Schizosaccharomyces pombe: one gene and its partners. The protein of the gene in region 1 binds, or shares a complex with, the protein of each later gene. Each region holds a gene or a part of one and is shown on either strand. Other genes may lie near its edges.

Region 1 (6,201 bases):
GTACTAGGCTTTTAAGCACTAACGGTCACCCTGGTATTTCTGTGAATGAAGCAAAAATCAAGTCTGGTGAATCTCCATATGAGAAATATTACCGTCTTCAGGGTGTTGTTGAGACAGTAACATCTGGTGTTGCTGCCAATGGGTCTTCATAATCTACGACTTCTCATTAAAAAGAAATTTTCATAGTCAAATTATCAATGCTATATCTCGTTGCATTTCCTACTTCTTAAAAAGCAGTTTGTTTAGGGAAAGGAGTACTCAAACGCACCTTAATGTCATTGTAAAGTCATTGCTAGACTGCATGGGTATACAAATCTTAAAATTATTTGTACATGAATAACAAATTATCTAAAGGAGCTAGAGAAGAGACGTAAATGTTTTAAACTTTCATTAAAACAATATGTAAAAACCCATCAATGTAACAGAAATCTCGATTGAGCTCGTCTAAAACGCTCTGAAGAAAAATTGTAATACCATGAATAACTGGTTTAACTATTAAGAATTTATCACATGATGGAAACAAGTCGGGAAGGCGTTTATTGAGAAACTCACCAAGAGAACTACCAAGAGGTGCAGAAGTTTGTATAATAGGAGCATTGGCCCCTAAATAAATTTTTAAAGGAATGAATTTGGATTTTGAAAAAAGTATTTTTATAGCAATGGGACGGAAATCATAGTAATCATGATTGAGTATTGCATTCCAGTAGGTGTCTGTTTCTGCCTTTGAAAGAGCGATTATTCCAGACGAACTTCCGTTACGAACGTAATCAGACTGTAAAAAGTTAATATGGATTTACCCCTTTTGTAAATAAATCATATATGTTTTTGTGATAGAGAACGCACCTCTTTTAAGCAGTTGAAAAAATATGTTCGAAAAGTATCCATGGTTTCCATTTGAAGTATTTTGGTTGTAGGAAATAGACCTGAGCGCAATTGAATGCGCCATAGCACCGGCGCTCGAGGAGTATCCGGATCAAACACTGTTAACAAATCGAAAAGTAAGCCAACAGGCCAATGCCTATATTATGATTAATTTACGGAAAGTTACTTTGGGTAAACGATACCATTTAAGAGGAACCCCATTATAATCCAACCAACATTCTGATAAAGGGATTGAAGGTGCCAACAGACGTTGAACATTTGGGAGTATTTGAGCAAAATATGATTGTCGCGGGACGTTAGCCTTAGGTAGAATATGGTGAGCAAAAAGGAAAAAATAAATTGAGTTAAAGAATATTAAATTACTACTTGAGTGAACAAATCACATACTAGATAGGCCAGAGAATTACCTTCATAATCAATGCGCACAGAAATAGTGCCATTCCAAAGGAGCTCTGGAATATTGCCTTTATTATTATCGACATTCATTTTTAAAAAACATCTCCAATACTGTGATTAGAAATTGTGCTTTTGTTGTATACTTAACAAACTCGTGGGTGGTTGGAATGCGTTGATAAATAGCTTAGAGTCAGACATTCACTATAATTAGTTAAATTAATGTTTTTACAATTAAAGTAAGTGGGCTTTAAATACACATAGTAGAGTCTTCAAAAAATTCACCCGAAAATATAACTGGTAATTTATATGTTCAAAATACGAGTTCCTGCTATACAAAAACCGCAATTAGGAATTTGTAGATTCACTGTATTGATTAGTTAATAGACACGTAATGACTTTTCGGAAGTAGAAGTTTGAGATATTCAAGGGACTTGAAAGTTTGCATGCAGTAAATCTCATAAAAGAATTAAAAGCAAGGATTTATATAGCTAATAATTGCAGGCACTAAGCTTGACATGGTCGCACTATGAGTCGCTAGTACGTTTGTGAGACTTTCGCATACGTTCCAGAAACTGTACACAACTTATTTAAACAACCAAATATTTTTAAAACAATACTGGTAAATATGTTGATCTTGAAGAGGATTTTCATTATAAGAAATTTTATATTTCCTTTTTCTAACTGCCGGTATGCCTCTACTGTTCCTAGTCCAAGATCAGGTATGAGATTTCAAAACATTAGTGCAATTTAAATTCCTAACAAGATTCAGGGATTTCTAATACAAATGATTTCTTTAAAAGAATTGGAAGAGATACTGCAGAAAAAGTGAACGGAAAATTCGAGTCTTGGGATGGTCTATTTAGGAAAAGTACAAAAACTATGAAAAAGGAAGGTATTGATGTACGTACAAGGAAATACATTGCAAGCCAAAGAAACCGATTTAAAGAAGGGTTTATAGTTAAGCCATATCCAGTTATGGTTAAAAAGAATGGAGGTGAGCGACGCAAACGTAAATAATAAGTATATGGAATATTATATTCTTTTGAGACATTCTTTCTTCTTTTTGTAGTTGAGTTTTTGCTTGAGTTCGAATTAATCTAAAATTTGCTTAAAATAGCCAACACTGTTCAAAGCATGTCTTTTCTCGACGAAGATGTGGAGCCTAGAACGCAAAGCCGATTAAACAATTGTCCATGAAACCATTTAGCAAATTCTGGAGAATTTTCCATTAGTGCGGAATTGGCGCTAGGGTATTGTCTCCCTCTTTCCAAGTTATTTTCATTTGTTTCGTTCACGGGCTTCCATTCCCACTCTCCTGCCCAGATTAATTTAGCTTCAATTTTTTCTCTAGTCCTAATATATAAAAAATTTTCTTTTAGCTCCATTAAGTCTACACCATCGCTAAATTCCTTTAGGACTGATGTATACTCAATAACTTGTTGATCATTGCCGGATACCATCCAAACTATACGTATAGTTGGTATTTCTATTTAATGGTTATAAATTTTTAACTTCAGCTGCACCTTAAATCGTTTGTTAGCAGATTCTTTTTGAGTATGTGTGCAAAGGTATTCGTTTGCGTTTGCGTCAAAGGGCTTGGTCAATTAGATGAGCCAACTGTGGTAAATTTTTATGTTAGGTTGATATCAATATGAACAGCAAATTTACTCTAAATGTGTACTTAAAGGCATAAGGAATATTTATACTATGTCATTAATCTTCTAGTACTAATCTTGGGCATTCGTTTCTTTTGGCATGGAAATTCGCTGTCGCGTTATCACAAGCCCTGGAGAACTAATTTCTTTGACCGCATTAGTTGTGTTGAGTGATTCCTCATCATTTTTGCCTATTTTTTTTAACTCTAAACTTTCATGCTCAGTGAATACATCATCGAAATCTTTTGCATCCTGGATGGATCGTTTAATTCTTTTATCGCGGATTTGCATGTAACTAACAATACAAGAGCTAACAAAGACTATTCCTCCTACCACCAGCAAACCAATTAATCCTTTTATAAATCGAGGCGTATCAGTATTGGGATACATTATAGGTGCCCACCAAATATGCCAGATATTCTGACACATATTCATCAAAAACACAACAACTCCTCTTTCCTGATCATTATCCCGGCAAATGTCATTTGCCCAAGAAAACCAAACTGCTTGTCCAGCATATGTACAACCAGAAGCGAAATAAGCAAAGAATTTTGCGCCATCTGGCACGTTCCATGCTAGAAGTATTGTAGCAGAAACAGTAGTAATTACGCACAGAAAAAGTCCAAAAGGCCATCTTGGGTTTCCAGCTAATTTATCAGAAATAACACTAGCACCTAACGTTGATACTACGCCAACAGCTGTAATCACAGTTGGGTAATTATTTATTTGGGCAACAGAAAATTTGTTGCTCCATTTCATCCACTGACCCATCAATACATTGACAGCTATAGCTTGTGTTTCTCCGCTAAAAATCCAAAGGATGCACAAACCGTAAATTCGCCATGAACGTACAATATCCTTTATCGCTTTTAGCGTTAATGGCTTCTTCTTGGGGCGAGCGGGTAGCCTTTTGAAACTTAATTCTTTTTCTTGTTCTGTAAAATAAGGAGCCTTGGTTGTTTCTGGAACGTCAGGAAACAGAAAGAGCCCATATAATGAAAGAGGAATCGTCAAAATGCCATCAATTATAAAAAGCCAACGCCAACCAGATAAACCACCTTTACCATTTAATGATGAATGAACTGCTGTTTGCAAATACCCAGCAAACATTGTGCCGACTAAACCAGAGGCTGAAAAAATTCCGGCACGTTTGCATAGTTCACTTTCTTTGTACCATGCGCCCAATATATAATGCGTACCAGCAAATGTAGATGCCTCCGCAACCGCCATGAAAAAGCGTAAAATCATCAATGCTCGAACGGAATGTACCGCAAATGAAAAAATCGTCATAAGTCCCCATAAAATATTCATAACCGAAAACCAAAGTCTTGCTGGTACTCTCTGTAATGCATAAGAACCTGGCAATTGTCCTATAATGTATCCACATGTAAAAACAACGTTTATATCTTGCAATTCATTACCATGCATTTTCAAATCCTCTTGCATACCACTAAGGTATGCATTGTTTATTGATGATCTATCCAAGTAATTAATAAAATATGAAACGCAACAGTAAGAAAGTATGAACCAATCTATTTTTATTAAAAGCTTTTGTTCAACTTTGTTTAATCCATAATAAGGGGAAAAGGTTTTTGCCAACCTATTTAGTAACGCCATTACGACTTGTCTCACTTATGAAATATTCACGACAATTTACAGAGGAGACCTAACTTAAATTTTTATGGCTTTAGAAAACGTACAATTTCAATGGATTCTCATGAAAAGTGCCTATATTAAAGTAAAGCCAGGGACCTAAGCAAGGAACAAACACTTCGAGTCAAAATCGAATTGCAGACTGTTGGAATATCAATATGCTCCAGCCAGGAAAATTTTTTCTTTAATTTTTCTGAAAAATCAAGATTATAAGTATCGATCGAGCCTTCTAAAAAGTGACAATATCAATGCCGGAAACCCAATCTTAATTTTTAGATGTGCGCTGATTACTCGGAATTGGCTAGCAAGTTGGATACTTATTCTCGACGTAGCCACAATGAGTACTATACTTTGCTGCTCTATTTGTGGAAATTAACTGTATTGCAAAAAACATCTAACCTTTCAATTAATAAGCATTCGGTTCAAGTGGCTACAATACAATAACCACTATTTGCGAGATTAAACATACTATTACAGTAACCAACACATTTGAAATGTAAAAAATTGCCATAGTTGAAGCTATTCAGCGTCAGCGAACATCTTCGGAGAGCTCAAATAATCTTAGCTCTTAAGATGGGGGTTTTTTCTGCCGAATACTGTATCTGTTTGACTTTTATTTTTAATACGTTGGAGTAACCGCTGTATTCTTGTGCAACTTGGTGTTTTTGAAATTAACAATGGCACTGTTGATGAACGAAAGTGAATTATAATACATTTTTTGACAGTACCAATCTTATGGAAGTGCCTTGAAATCCTGTTACGTTACGTTTTAGCAAGATCGCTTCTCTTATGATTTTCTTGTTTCAATGGTTTTCTACCCATAATCAATGAAATATGTTTACAAGGGTTACGAGTTTTGTAAAGCAAATGCACTTTAAAAATTGACCAGAAACTTCCATATATTAGAACCAAAATTTTTTGGAATACATTTTAACATAGTAAATTAAAATAAGCCGTTTACTTATTCTAATTTACAGAAGCGCTTCTATAATGTTTAAGTAACGAACGTTTTTGTCACCCAACACCACCCAACTTCGTATCCCAAGATTTATAACTTGTTCGGACAAACATCGTTGGTAAAGACTTGCATCGTTCATTACAGAACGAATTTTATTATTTATAGTTCACATTTGTGAATCTTAAGATGCAATGTCTGCTGAGGGAAAAGCCAAGATCCTTGGCCTTAGTCAATAAGGACCATGCTCTTATGTTTCATTCGGTTCCTCAGAACAAAAACTCTTTATCAGTATGTGTTGCAGAATTTACGGCATTGTCAGAAAAGCCGTTAGAAGGATTTCGAAAAATCTCCAGTCATCGAATTTATGGTACTCTAGGTCTGATTGAATTAGAAGGGTCCAATTTTTTGTGCGTGATTAGTGGAGCTAGTGAGGTAGCACGTGTGCGAGATAAAGAAAGAGTTTTTCGTATCATGGAGGTCTGCTTTTACAGTGTTAATCGTTCAAACTGGGATCACATTCGACAAGAAAATTACTCGCCTGATATTCCGGATGGTTACGATACCGATACCCAAGGCTATGATTCTTACAAGTATGCCGCTGAACCATTCAGTAGTCTCAGAAAGCTATTAACAAATGGATCATTTTACTTTTCTCTC
Region 2 (2,969 bases), on another chromosome or scaffold:
GTGTTATATCCACATCTTCACTGCCATCTGTACTTCAAAAAACAAGTTTTATGTACATATCTGATATTTATGTAAACGAAGATGACATTGTCTGTTTCCAAGGCTCACTATGGACACAAATTGACAAAAATGCACTCGATTATAATGACAGCGCTGACAATATTGATGAACATAAGGATGACTTAAAAGAATTACCAAGAAGATTACAAATGGTATCAAAACTATCAAACACATATTTTCGTTGCCTGCATGATAAATCTGTCGAGTACGTCTGCCCATTCGCAGATGTTTTGGGAAGATGGTATGAGCCTTGGTTCGTAAAAGGAGATTTAAATTACACTTCAGAAGTGAAAGAACGCACATCCAGTCGATTATCAGCAGTAGGCTCTGAAAATTGGGTCGATGACGATTTTTATGAATATTTACTGTCTGAAATTGATATGGTGTCAGCAGTTGTAATGTAATAAGTATGGCAGATAAAATTAGATATAGAAGTGTCTACTTATTGATCAGTGACGGTCATTATTTATAATGTAAATAATATGGGAATAATAATGTCTTTTGCATTTCATAAATTACAGAGAAAGATAGGTAAAAACTATTTGTGTTGAATTAGAGATGGGATATAGTTTTTTTTAAGAAATCATGTTGCACTATCACACCGGTATTAATAAATCATTTCTAAGTTCAGAAGGTCAAATACAACGGTGGAAAAGCACCAACAATGTTGGGCAGCAGATTAACTGCACAGGAAGATTACGTAAACGAAGAAAACAGAAAAGTAATATAAACATACTTCATATGCGTCGCTCCCTTCTACCTCTCGGTCCTCCAAATTTAATAGGTGTTCGATCCATAACCTTTACAATTTTGTCTCGAATTACGGCACCTTCTTGCCCTAATAAACAATTTTGTACTGCTTCCCTGGCCTGACTAAAACCATGAAATATAACATGCAAATTTTCAATACCAAGGCGCTTTACTTGGATTTGTTCCAGCACCTTGGAGCAAATGGTATAAGCAGCATCGTAGCCACGGCGCTTTCCTTTACGAAAACCACAGGTTCCTCCAGAGGCCCTAAAAATAATTTTTCTTTCAGGAGAACAAAGTGTAATGTGAGTGTTGTTCTTCAAACATTTGGCATGAAGGTAAAATGGCATTGGAATGGTATCCGTACCTTGCATAATCGGATTTGGCTCCTCCGTCCTTTTTGAAAAAGCTTTTGGAGTGATTGTGGATTCTAAAAGAGAAGAGAGTTCCTTTTTGGGCGCATTCCGCCTAGGACTCTGGCTCCAAAATCTTCGTAGTCCAACTTTTGTTAAATTAAGCATTAGATATTTGATGAAAAATAGCTTGCTAAGAACCGATTTGTAAACCAAAAATAAAATCAAAGAACTAAAAAATATGGATGAAAATGTAAAGGAAATGAAAAATGACAAATTGTAAGTAACCGAGTGCTTCAATACCATAATTTCTATACCAGGTAACTTATGTTACTCAACCTGTGGTAGTGGTATGAACGTGTAAATATTAACCTAAAACACTCTTCTCGTTTTAAAGAAAAAATAAAGAAATAAAAAATTAAAAATCTTACTTTGGTGGCTGCCTTAAAAGTTTTTCAAACGGATCATTTGGGATACCCAACGACTGTAATTTAAACGAAGATTGGTGAATTGAAAACACAAATATAACCCATCTTTTGAACAGTGAAGATTTTGCAATGATACCAAATGAGAAGCTAAAACTATTAGGTTTATTATCAATTTCTTTTTTTCTTCAATGGTATTTAGCAAACACTTGGATTGCTGAATTCCTTTACAGGCGAATCGAAGTATCGACGCCTGTATCCGGATTTTTACGTGTTCGTGAAGGACTTTACTTGTATGAAAACGGACTAGACCCCTATTCTGGTGGTGTTTTCTATCAGTCTCCACTTCTACTGATCTTAAATTATTGTTGTGAGTTGCTTGGAGGAATATCTGTCACCAGATTTGTTTATACTAGCATTTCTACTATGGGAGGTCTCTTTGTGTATTTAATTGCAAAACAAGCTCGTGTTTTAGACCCAAATCAAGTACTATCTACTTGTTCACCATTATGGATTTCCGTCATGTAAGTTACGCATATGGCTTGCGACAAAAAAAGTGAGACATTCTTCAAAAAAATGAAAAGCATTGTATCGTTGGTTTACAAAATTGTTAACGATGACTGTTCAAAGATTGAACTGCGTTGATTACACAGATTTCGTAGTCGATATTGAAAATGTGTACTTCTGTGATATATTTGTGTCGCAAACAAGTATCCTTAACTCAAAATTTACTAACAAAATATTACTTTAGTTATCTGCTTAACCCATTAACATTTCTTCCAGGAATTGCTTGCTCCGCAGACATGATACTTAATTTCACCACTCTAATGACCATTTATTTCGCCTCTTGCGGATCCTATGCAATTTATGCATGCTGTATGGCATTGACTGTATTCATTAATCCTAACGCTTTACTGTTATTTTTCCCCTCCTATCTTATTTTAAGAAAATGCAATTCATCCATTAAATTTCGTCAGATATTCGTTGTTTTTCTTTTTTATCTTGCAGGTCTGATAATAACTTCAGGCTTCTTTCTGAACTCGTTATCTTTTTTGAAAATTCCATTTAGGGTATACTTGGACTCTCATGATCTAACTCCGAATTTGGGTCTCTGGTGGTATTTTTTTACAGAAATGTTCAATGAATTTCGCACATTCTTCCTTTTTGTATTTGCCATTTTACCATTGATGTTTGTTCTCCCTGTTTCGATCCGTCTTTATTATCTGCCCTTGCCTATTACTATTGCTCTTATTGGCCTGCATTCTTTATTCAAAGCTTACCCAAGTATTTGTGATCTTTCAATATTTTTATCTCTCCTCCCAATTTTTAATAAAGTCCAAGACCGAATGCGATATAGCTTGCTTACAAATAATGCTATTGT
Region 3 (3,288 bases), on another chromosome or scaffold:
TCGAAATACCACGAATGTTAAAATTCGTCTCCGTTTACATGAGGTTAGTCTCGTCCTGGTTGTTGCTCATGATATAACATTTGATGAGCTGTTAGCCAAGGTAGAACATAAAATAAAGCTTTGTGGGATTTTGAAACAAGCTGTTCCTTTTCGGGTTAGACTGAAGTATGTTGATGAGGATGGCGATTTTATAACCATCACATCCGATGAAGACGTTTTAATGGCATTTGAAACGTGCACGTTTGAACTTATGGATCCTGTCCATAATAAAGGAATGGATACTGTGTCTTTGCACGTTGTTGTTTATTTCTAAACTAGCATTGTGCTAGCTGTACATTGTCAATTTAATTTATATAGAGGAAATTAACAGTTTAGTCGATGAACTAATTTACTTTCCCTTCTTTGTTTTGAAAAAACAACAATATACTTCATAGAAGATAAATTCTGTAGCATTTCCGTTAACTGAAAAGGAGCTGTAGAAGAATGTTGATGAATATTATGAAAGTTATTTTACAACCAAACTATAACCTCATAAACATGAATATGATTAACTGCGCACTACGTAGTATAATTGAGTTGATAACTAAGAGTAATCAATTCTCGATATACTAGACAAAAATAACATTACTAAAAGGGAATGCAATTCATAAAAAAGATAAAAATGTACGGAATTTTTGTTTTTATATACGAACGGGTGCATTACCTCTGTTAACAAGGCACATTCTGTGCAGATGATCTTTCTTTTTGAAACAATTGCTTGTCTTGCTCCTGATAGCAATGATTTCTTTAACAATACGATCTGATAATCTTTTAGGACTTGATGATTTACATTCACCGAGGATCCATTGTAACGCAATCCTTCTTCGCTGTCGCTCTTTCAATGGCATAGGAAATTCGACACTTTTGTTAAATCGCTTTGCAGAAACCTATCAAAATATTAGCAAATCCGTCTACACACTATAAAAAGAAATAATTCACAAAAAATTCCAAAATTTTCAATAATTTCGACGTACCAACTTCATTAAGGGAGAAATCTCAGCGATTGCTTGTTTCAAAACATCTATAGGATTTTCACCGGTTTCTTTTTGTATGATAGAGAGCGCTGTTGCAACAATCTTTTCAGCTTTAGCTTTTTTCCCATCTCGCATTATTAAATTCACCAAATGCTGTACTGTAGAGTCGACCTGAAATGGTCGATCTATTAACCCTACAATTGAACTTGACGGAGAAGGCCACAGATTTGTACCCATTAGCGGCGGTTCTTCATTTTCAACTTCAATTTTTTTCTCTAATTCACCCATAAAATCGTCGGAGGCAGACTGTTCGACAGAATCTTGAAGTTGATTCAGTAAATTTTCGAGTCCCGCATTATCCCATTGTGGATTTGAACGTTCATTGATATCTTCAATTTTTTCATTATATTTTTCATTTGAGGTAAATTTTCCAACTTGAAAAGTACGAGTCTGATGGATAAAAACAAGCGACTCTTTCATCAAATGTCCCGAACTCGCACATCGAAACAAAGGTTGCTTTATGAGTCGTAGCATGGCCCTTTATTGTTTGTTCTTTCTTCTTGAATGAAATTTTTAAAACAATTACTCTTATTAATCAAAGCATGTAGGAAAGCTAAGGTGTGCGTAGATGTTTAAGCTTAGTACATATACACTATGGATAAATGAAAGAAAAGGGAAGGGAACTAGGCGCTAGCGTGCTACATTTCAAAGTCGTTTGGCTATTTATTTATTAACTTGAAATAAGATAAATTAGGTAATCGATGTTAAAATATTCATCATTAATTGTGTATCCAAATTTAATACTTGAGCTAGACACAGTTTTATTGGGATCATACAGAACTGATACCTTGAAAGAAAGTAAAAAAAAAAGTTATATATAATATACAGAGAAGCGATAAATTGAAAAATTGTAAAAACAAGCATTTAAAACAAAAGAGAGAAATTATGGGACATTAATTAATTGAACATCAGTTTATAACATACTATATTCGTGTCATAAAACGAATTTTAATAAATAATAAAATCTATAAAGACATAAAAACATTAGATTTTGGCCTATGAGCACAGTAATCTAAAAACAGTTTTGATTGTCTTTTGAATCTATAAACCAAAACAAAAGTTTTTTAATTCAAGAGTTGTATAAACAGAAAAAGAGCCATATCCAGCATTTCAATGTTCATTTTTTCCAGCCTTTATGAAGAAAGAACATTAAGTCCAATAAAGAATATATCAATATATCATTAACCTCTATATGGAAAAACAGAAACAATTACCTTTTACAAGCACAATTGAGTTTCCAAAGACATTATCAAACCTAAGCAGGAGGATAAGACATTCGTCTTTGATACTCCGAGATTGACGTATCAATAGAAGTGAGCGTACAGGATACCAACTAATCCTAGTTAATAATCAAAATCTCTACAAAAAAAACTTACCTCATAAACCAGTTTTGGATCAACGTTTTGTTCCTGAGCCTGGCTCGCAATTGCCTCCACCCTTTTTTTCGAATTTAACAGAGCATTCTGAAGGGGGGCCATCGCCTTCTTGTCCGGGAAAGTTGTATTCAACAAGGCATTCCAAAATTGATGCAAAAATTCTATCGTAACGGTATGGCACAAAACAATTTCATTTTTTATGTCAATAGGTAAATTTGATGCAGTGCCGTGGGTCTCAAACTCATGCTTTTCGCGCATACTCTGAGTAAGCTGCATAGCGGCTTCAGCCAAAGAGTCAGAATCATGTTCAATGTGATTTAAGCTTATCGAATCTTCCTGGTATAAATGTTGAAGAGCTTCCAATGAAGGCAAAGGCTCTAAACCAACTTGATTTTTTGAGGGGACAAAATTATTTTCCAATAACTGATCTTGACCTTTGATTTTTAAGACAACTTTAGAGTCACTGGCTTCTTCTTCTAAATCGTGAAAACCAGATTCTTTTAAGTATGTTTCTTCATTTTCGTTGTTAAATCGTTTAGAGTTTCTACAAGTTGTTAGGCATACCGAAGCAATAACAATTAATAAAACCGAATATACATACCCCAAACTTTTTTCCAAAAGTCTTTCCGAAAGCTGATTGATGTTTTTCATAAACGGTAGAGCTTCTTTGTCAATTCGCATAGTGATATCAGGTCTAAGTTCTGCTATTACATTTGCATTTTGATCATTTCCTTCTAAATCAAAGAGGTGCGATGCAATAGGTTCATCCGATACTTTGGTTACCTCTTGAAAATGTTAGAAATGGAATTCATCTAGGTTGGAGAAATTACCTTCATTAT
Region 4 (3,794 bases), 1.2 Mb from region 1:
ATACTGAACTTCGCAATTCCGTACGAGCATTTATTGCTCTAGCTCCTGCAATTGCTCCTAAAAAGTATAGTGGTAGAACCGTTAAATCTATTATTCACGCTAATAGCCAACTTCTTTACCTAATGTTCGGTCGAAATTCCATGCTTGGTTCTGCTGTGTTTTGGCAAGCAGTTTTATATCCGCCAGTTTTTGCAAAAATTGTTGATCTGTTTCTTCGCTTTTTTCTGAGCTGGACCGGAAAAAATATTTCCGAAACTCAGAAAATCGTTGCATACTCCCATCTATATTCCTTTACTTCTGTCAAATGCTTTGTACATTGGGCTCAAATTACGCGTCGCAAAGTATTACAAATGTACGATGACAGTCCAGGATTTAAGCCAAGTTACTATACAAATCTTAACCGAATTGCTCGCTATCCGATTGAAAATATACGTCTACCTATTACTTTAGTTTATGGCAGTAACGATAACATGGTGGACATTGAAACACTCAAGACCCAACTTCCACCATTATCTCAATGCATTCAGGTATGTTCTGAAACAGTTGTAGCTTCATTTACTTAAGTGGAAACTAACAAGTTAAAATTAAAGATTCCTAACTATGAGCATCTCGACATCATCATGGGAGATACGAAAAAGGACATAGTAATTCAGCAAGTCGTAGAACAACTAAATCATGTCATTGCTGGAGATTACTTTGAAAGCATAAAAGAAGAATTTGGACTTGACACAGAATTGGTTGACGGCGTTATGAACCATACAATATAGTGTTCATCGCTTCTGAAACTGGCACAATGTATATTTAATATGTTAGATAAGTTTCTGTTCTAAATCAAACTGAAGCACAGTGTTGTATAGACTGTTTCATCGTATGTGCAACCCTTCTTATCAGTATTTGTATTAAACGGCTAAAAAAAGTTTCTTTGTTTAATTTGAAAAAGTCAATATGGCAACGAAAGCAAAAAAAACTATGCAATTTTTATATGTACAAATAACTTTTAGATAATGCAACAACTAGAAGAATTTGCTGAGTGAATTTGTAACAATTCAAGATTTTATTTCGCAAAAGTTTGAAATGGATTGTACTGCCGCTAATGCATGCTAAGGGGGTAAATTTTCTTTCAAAAACGGGAAATAAATGCTTGATTTTCAGGTAGTAGATTTTTTTCTCTTAACATAAATATCCCCGCCGGTATCCCTTCTATACACATTACCAGTAGAAAGATCAATGAGCCTAAAAACACGCTTCCCAACTTCGCTGGGGCTTGAAGAAATTAGCTCTTCATCTTCATTCAAATCTTTGTGCTCATCAGATGTTTTGTGGAAGTGAGTAGCGTTTTGTCTCATGTTTAATTCCTCAATCGAAGGCCACTTCAGGATTTTAGCAGCCTCTTGAGGTGTAAACGTTTCTCCCTCAGGCAAACTCTTCCAAAGGGATACTGGATTGGAACGCAAAGGAATATCGTTTCCGTCATTAAACTGCATCATCTCAGGTTTAGTACATGCGTTCAGCATTTTCTCCATAACTTCATTATAACTATGAAGAATCGGCTTCTTTTTTTCTTCGAATTCATCATTTATTCTTCTCAACTTTATAAGAGCTTCAATCCTTTGTGGAGATGTGTTGAATTTTCGAGCAAGCACTTCTATACTTGCACCCTGCAAGTATTCATCGGTAATTTTCATACGCAAAGAATGAGATATAGGCCTAGGAGGCTTAAAAAAAGGGTTTAAAGGGAAGGGCTGATTTGTATTAGGTCCCAAGCCTACATTACCAGATGATGAGGACTTTGCTTTCTGTACTTCGGGAGACATTAACCATTGAGCCATCATTAAACGTTGTTTATGACGAAGTGTATTCTTAGAAACTGAAGAAGCAACATCATTTGGGGGTGTTACAGATCTTGAGTTGCAAGCAACGTACTTTGAATCAATGTTCTTTTGAGTGTGTTTATTTAAATCAATATTTCCCCCATTGCTTAAAAATGCTCCAGTACTAAAGAATTGTTTCTTGACTGCTGAGGTATAAGTTTTATTTTGAGATAAATTAAAAGCCGTTTTAAGCCCTAACTGTGAGAATTCCACTGAATTCCTCATTTAGGTGCGTTGGAAAGGTTTCTTGTGTCACTCCCCAAAAGTTAGTAACACGCCCTAATTCTATTCATCAAGATAGATATAGAAAATAAACTTCAAAAAACCAATAATTAATGAGACGATTTAGGAAAACTCAAATTTAACCTCCGGCGGTCAAGCAATCTAGCTCCATTATAAGATCCGATTAACATACAGACGCTTGATTTATTTATGAGACAATAACTCTCAGTATGCAATAAAGTAAGATTTTGTTTATTCTATAGAATGTTTGAGAGTCAGTTCCAATATTAGGATACGAACAGTTATACACATCAATACTTAAAAAATAAATACACAATTTAAGTCATAATTTCTACAGAATCAAACGAAAAAAATTCATTAAATACGGTCATTGCTTCTTTAGACAAGAGTTTCGCATGTCCTTGATATTTTTGTTTGGCAATTGACACATCAACAAATAATAAAGCGGATGGATGGCATTAAATTGATTAGGAAATTCCAAATTGAAAATTAAAGTAGAGGAAAGTTTTAGAATACATGTTATACAAACAAAACGATTTGTGTATCATATTTGTCAGAAAGTTCATAACCAACAATCTCAGCTTAATACCTAAGTTTATTATATTCGGCAAAAAAGGGGAAATAGGTTTAAGGAAACATTTATAAACTTACCTCAAATTATTTAGAGAGTAACCAAAAACCCAAAAAGCAATCAACTAATGAAGAGTGCATGGGCTTAACAATTATTCTAAAAACTTTAACTGAGATGTTTATTTCAAATGTTGAAAGGGAGACAATTCAAAAAGATTTTTAAAGTTAAACGACAATAGGCATATAATTGACCCTACTAAGGCAAAATCCAAAGTGCCTTTCAAAGACCATTTTGTATTTGACCGACTAAATCGTAACCCACTTCCTTTCAGTCTATTATCATAATGTACATTATTGCGAATATGTGTTTTAGAGAAAGCATTTTATGAAGTCATTATTTGGTATCCGAGGAACACTTCAGTAGTAGTTCCTTGCCATCCTCGATTTCCACTAGCTGAAAACATGAATTGACAAGAAGTGTCTACATAAAGCGAACTGACAAGACCTCCATGATGACCTGGAATAATTAAGAACCCTATGCCGGCCTTGCTTTGAAGATCATAAAGGCGGATATTATCAAAGGAGGAAATTACAAGGTGACGGCCATTCGGCATCGAATAGACATTTGAAACAGGACCCGAATCGAGAGGCATTTTTAAAGAGCGAACAGGCTCCTTGCCAGAGTGAATGTTATATTCTTCGACGATTCCATTTCGGCGGCCAATATATATATTATTTCCATCCGGACTCCAACATGCAGACATAGCCCATGGTGGTACACCCTTGGGGACGGGGTATTTGAGAACAGAATCGACCATGCGATGGTCCCATACATTCATAACTCCATCTATAGACGTCGTTAAGAAAATATTGGACTCTTCGGATGAAGATTCGGAAGGAGCTTTTATGTTGTCATTGTTAGTAGTAGATTCGGTTTGAGAGGGTTTTTCTGTCTCGTTCTCCTCATTTGCTTGAACAGATTTAGTTTCTTCTTCAATGGCTTTTTCCACCTCTTCATCAAACAGTGCATCGTAAGAAGAGGAAGACGCAGGTGTACCGAACAAACTACGCATGTCGTCCGATTCAGAACCCCAAGGATTTACAGCGCCT

Evidence for each region.
Region 2: fyv4 (region 1) and mrps18 share a complex: the UniProt entries of both Schizosaccharomyces pombe proteins name them as parts of the mitochondrial small ribosomal subunit.
Region 3: fyv4 (region 1) and rsm7 share a complex: the UniProt entries of both Schizosaccharomyces pombe proteins name them as parts of the mitochondrial small ribosomal subunit.
Region 4: fyv4 (region 1) and bot1 share a complex: the UniProt entries of both Schizosaccharomyces pombe proteins name them as parts of the mitochondrial small ribosomal subunit.

The regions. Positions count from the first base shown.
Region 1 is NC_003423.3:3,431,823-3,438,023, forward strand, and holds fyv4 (mitochondrial 37S ribosomal protein mS41 ), read left to right. Parts: upstream 1-1,845; 5' UTR 1,846-1,903; coding exon 1,904-1,997; exon of another isoform or gene 1,998-2,047; coding exon 2,048-2,295; 3' UTR 2,296-2,405; coding exon of another isoform or gene 2,406-2,738; 3' UTR 2,739-3,005; coding exon of another isoform or gene 3,006-4,550; 3' UTR 4,551-5,686; downstream 5,687-6,201. Other genes in the region: U1 snRNP-associated protein Prp39, read left to right, coding at 1-152; autophagy-associated protein Atg5, read right to left, coding at 380-772, 844-1,018, 1,065-1,183, 1,270-1,368; SPOM_SPBC4B4.12C (uncharacterized protein), read right to left, coding at 2,406-2,738; plasma membrane pantothenate transmembrane transporter Liz1, read right to left, coding at 3,006-4,550; syj1 (inositol-1,4,5-trisphosphate 5-phosphatase 1), read left to right, coding at 5,731-6,201. UniProt on the Schizosaccharomyces pombe protein: Component of the mitochondrial ribosome (mitoribosome), a dedicated translation machinery responsible for the synthesis of mitochondrial genome-encoded proteins, including at least some of the essential transmembrane subunits of the mitochondrial respiratory chain.
Region 2 is NC_003424.3:4,966,426-4,969,394, forward strand, and holds mrps18 (putative mitochondrial ribosomal protein subunit S18), read right to left. Parts: upstream 1,438-2,969; 5' UTR 1,332-1,437; coding exon 798-1,331; 3' UTR 565-797; downstream 1-564. Other genes in the region: SHREC complex subunit Clr2, read left to right, coding at 1-464; gab1 (Pig-U family GPI transamidase subunit), read left to right, coding at 1,721-2,112, 2,340-2,969. UniProt on the Schizosaccharomyces pombe protein: Component of the mitochondrial ribosome (mitoribosome), a dedicated translation machinery responsible for the synthesis of mitochondrial genome-encoded proteins, including at least some of the essential transmembrane subunits of the mitochondrial respiratory chain.
Region 3 is NC_003424.3:3,518,214-3,521,501, forward strand, and holds rsm7 (mitochondrial 37S ribosomal protein uS7m), read right to left. Parts: upstream 1,629-3,288; 5' UTR 1,548-1,628; coding exon 1,014-1,547; intron 927-1,013; coding exon 681-926; 3' UTR 501-680; downstream 1-500. Other genes in the region: RhoGEF Scd1, read left to right, coding at 1-313; transcription factor TFIIH complex subunit Tfb1, read right to left, coding at 2,329-2,406, 2,450-2,993, 3,051-3,234, 3,280-3,288. UniProt on the Schizosaccharomyces pombe protein: Component of the mitochondrial ribosome (mitoribosome), a dedicated translation machinery responsible for the synthesis of mitochondrial genome-encoded proteins, including at least some of the essential transmembrane subunits of the mitochondrial respiratory chain.
Region 4 is NC_003423.3:2,231,016-2,234,809, forward strand, and holds bot1 (mitochondrial ribosomal protein subunit S45), read right to left. Parts: upstream 2,108-3,794; 5' UTR 2,097-2,107; coding exon 1,149-2,096; 3' UTR 768-1,148; coding exon of another isoform or gene 591-767; 3' UTR 528-590; downstream 1-527. Other genes in the region: SPOM_SPBC14C8.15 (triglyceride lipase-cholesterol esterase), read left to right, coding at 1-527, 591-767; SAGA complex subunit Spt8, read right to left, coding at 3,068-3,794. UniProt on the Schizosaccharomyces pombe protein: Component of the mitochondrial ribosome (mitoribosome), a dedicated translation machinery responsible for the synthesis of mitochondrial genome-encoded proteins, including at least some of the essential transmembrane subunits of the mitochondrial respiratory chain.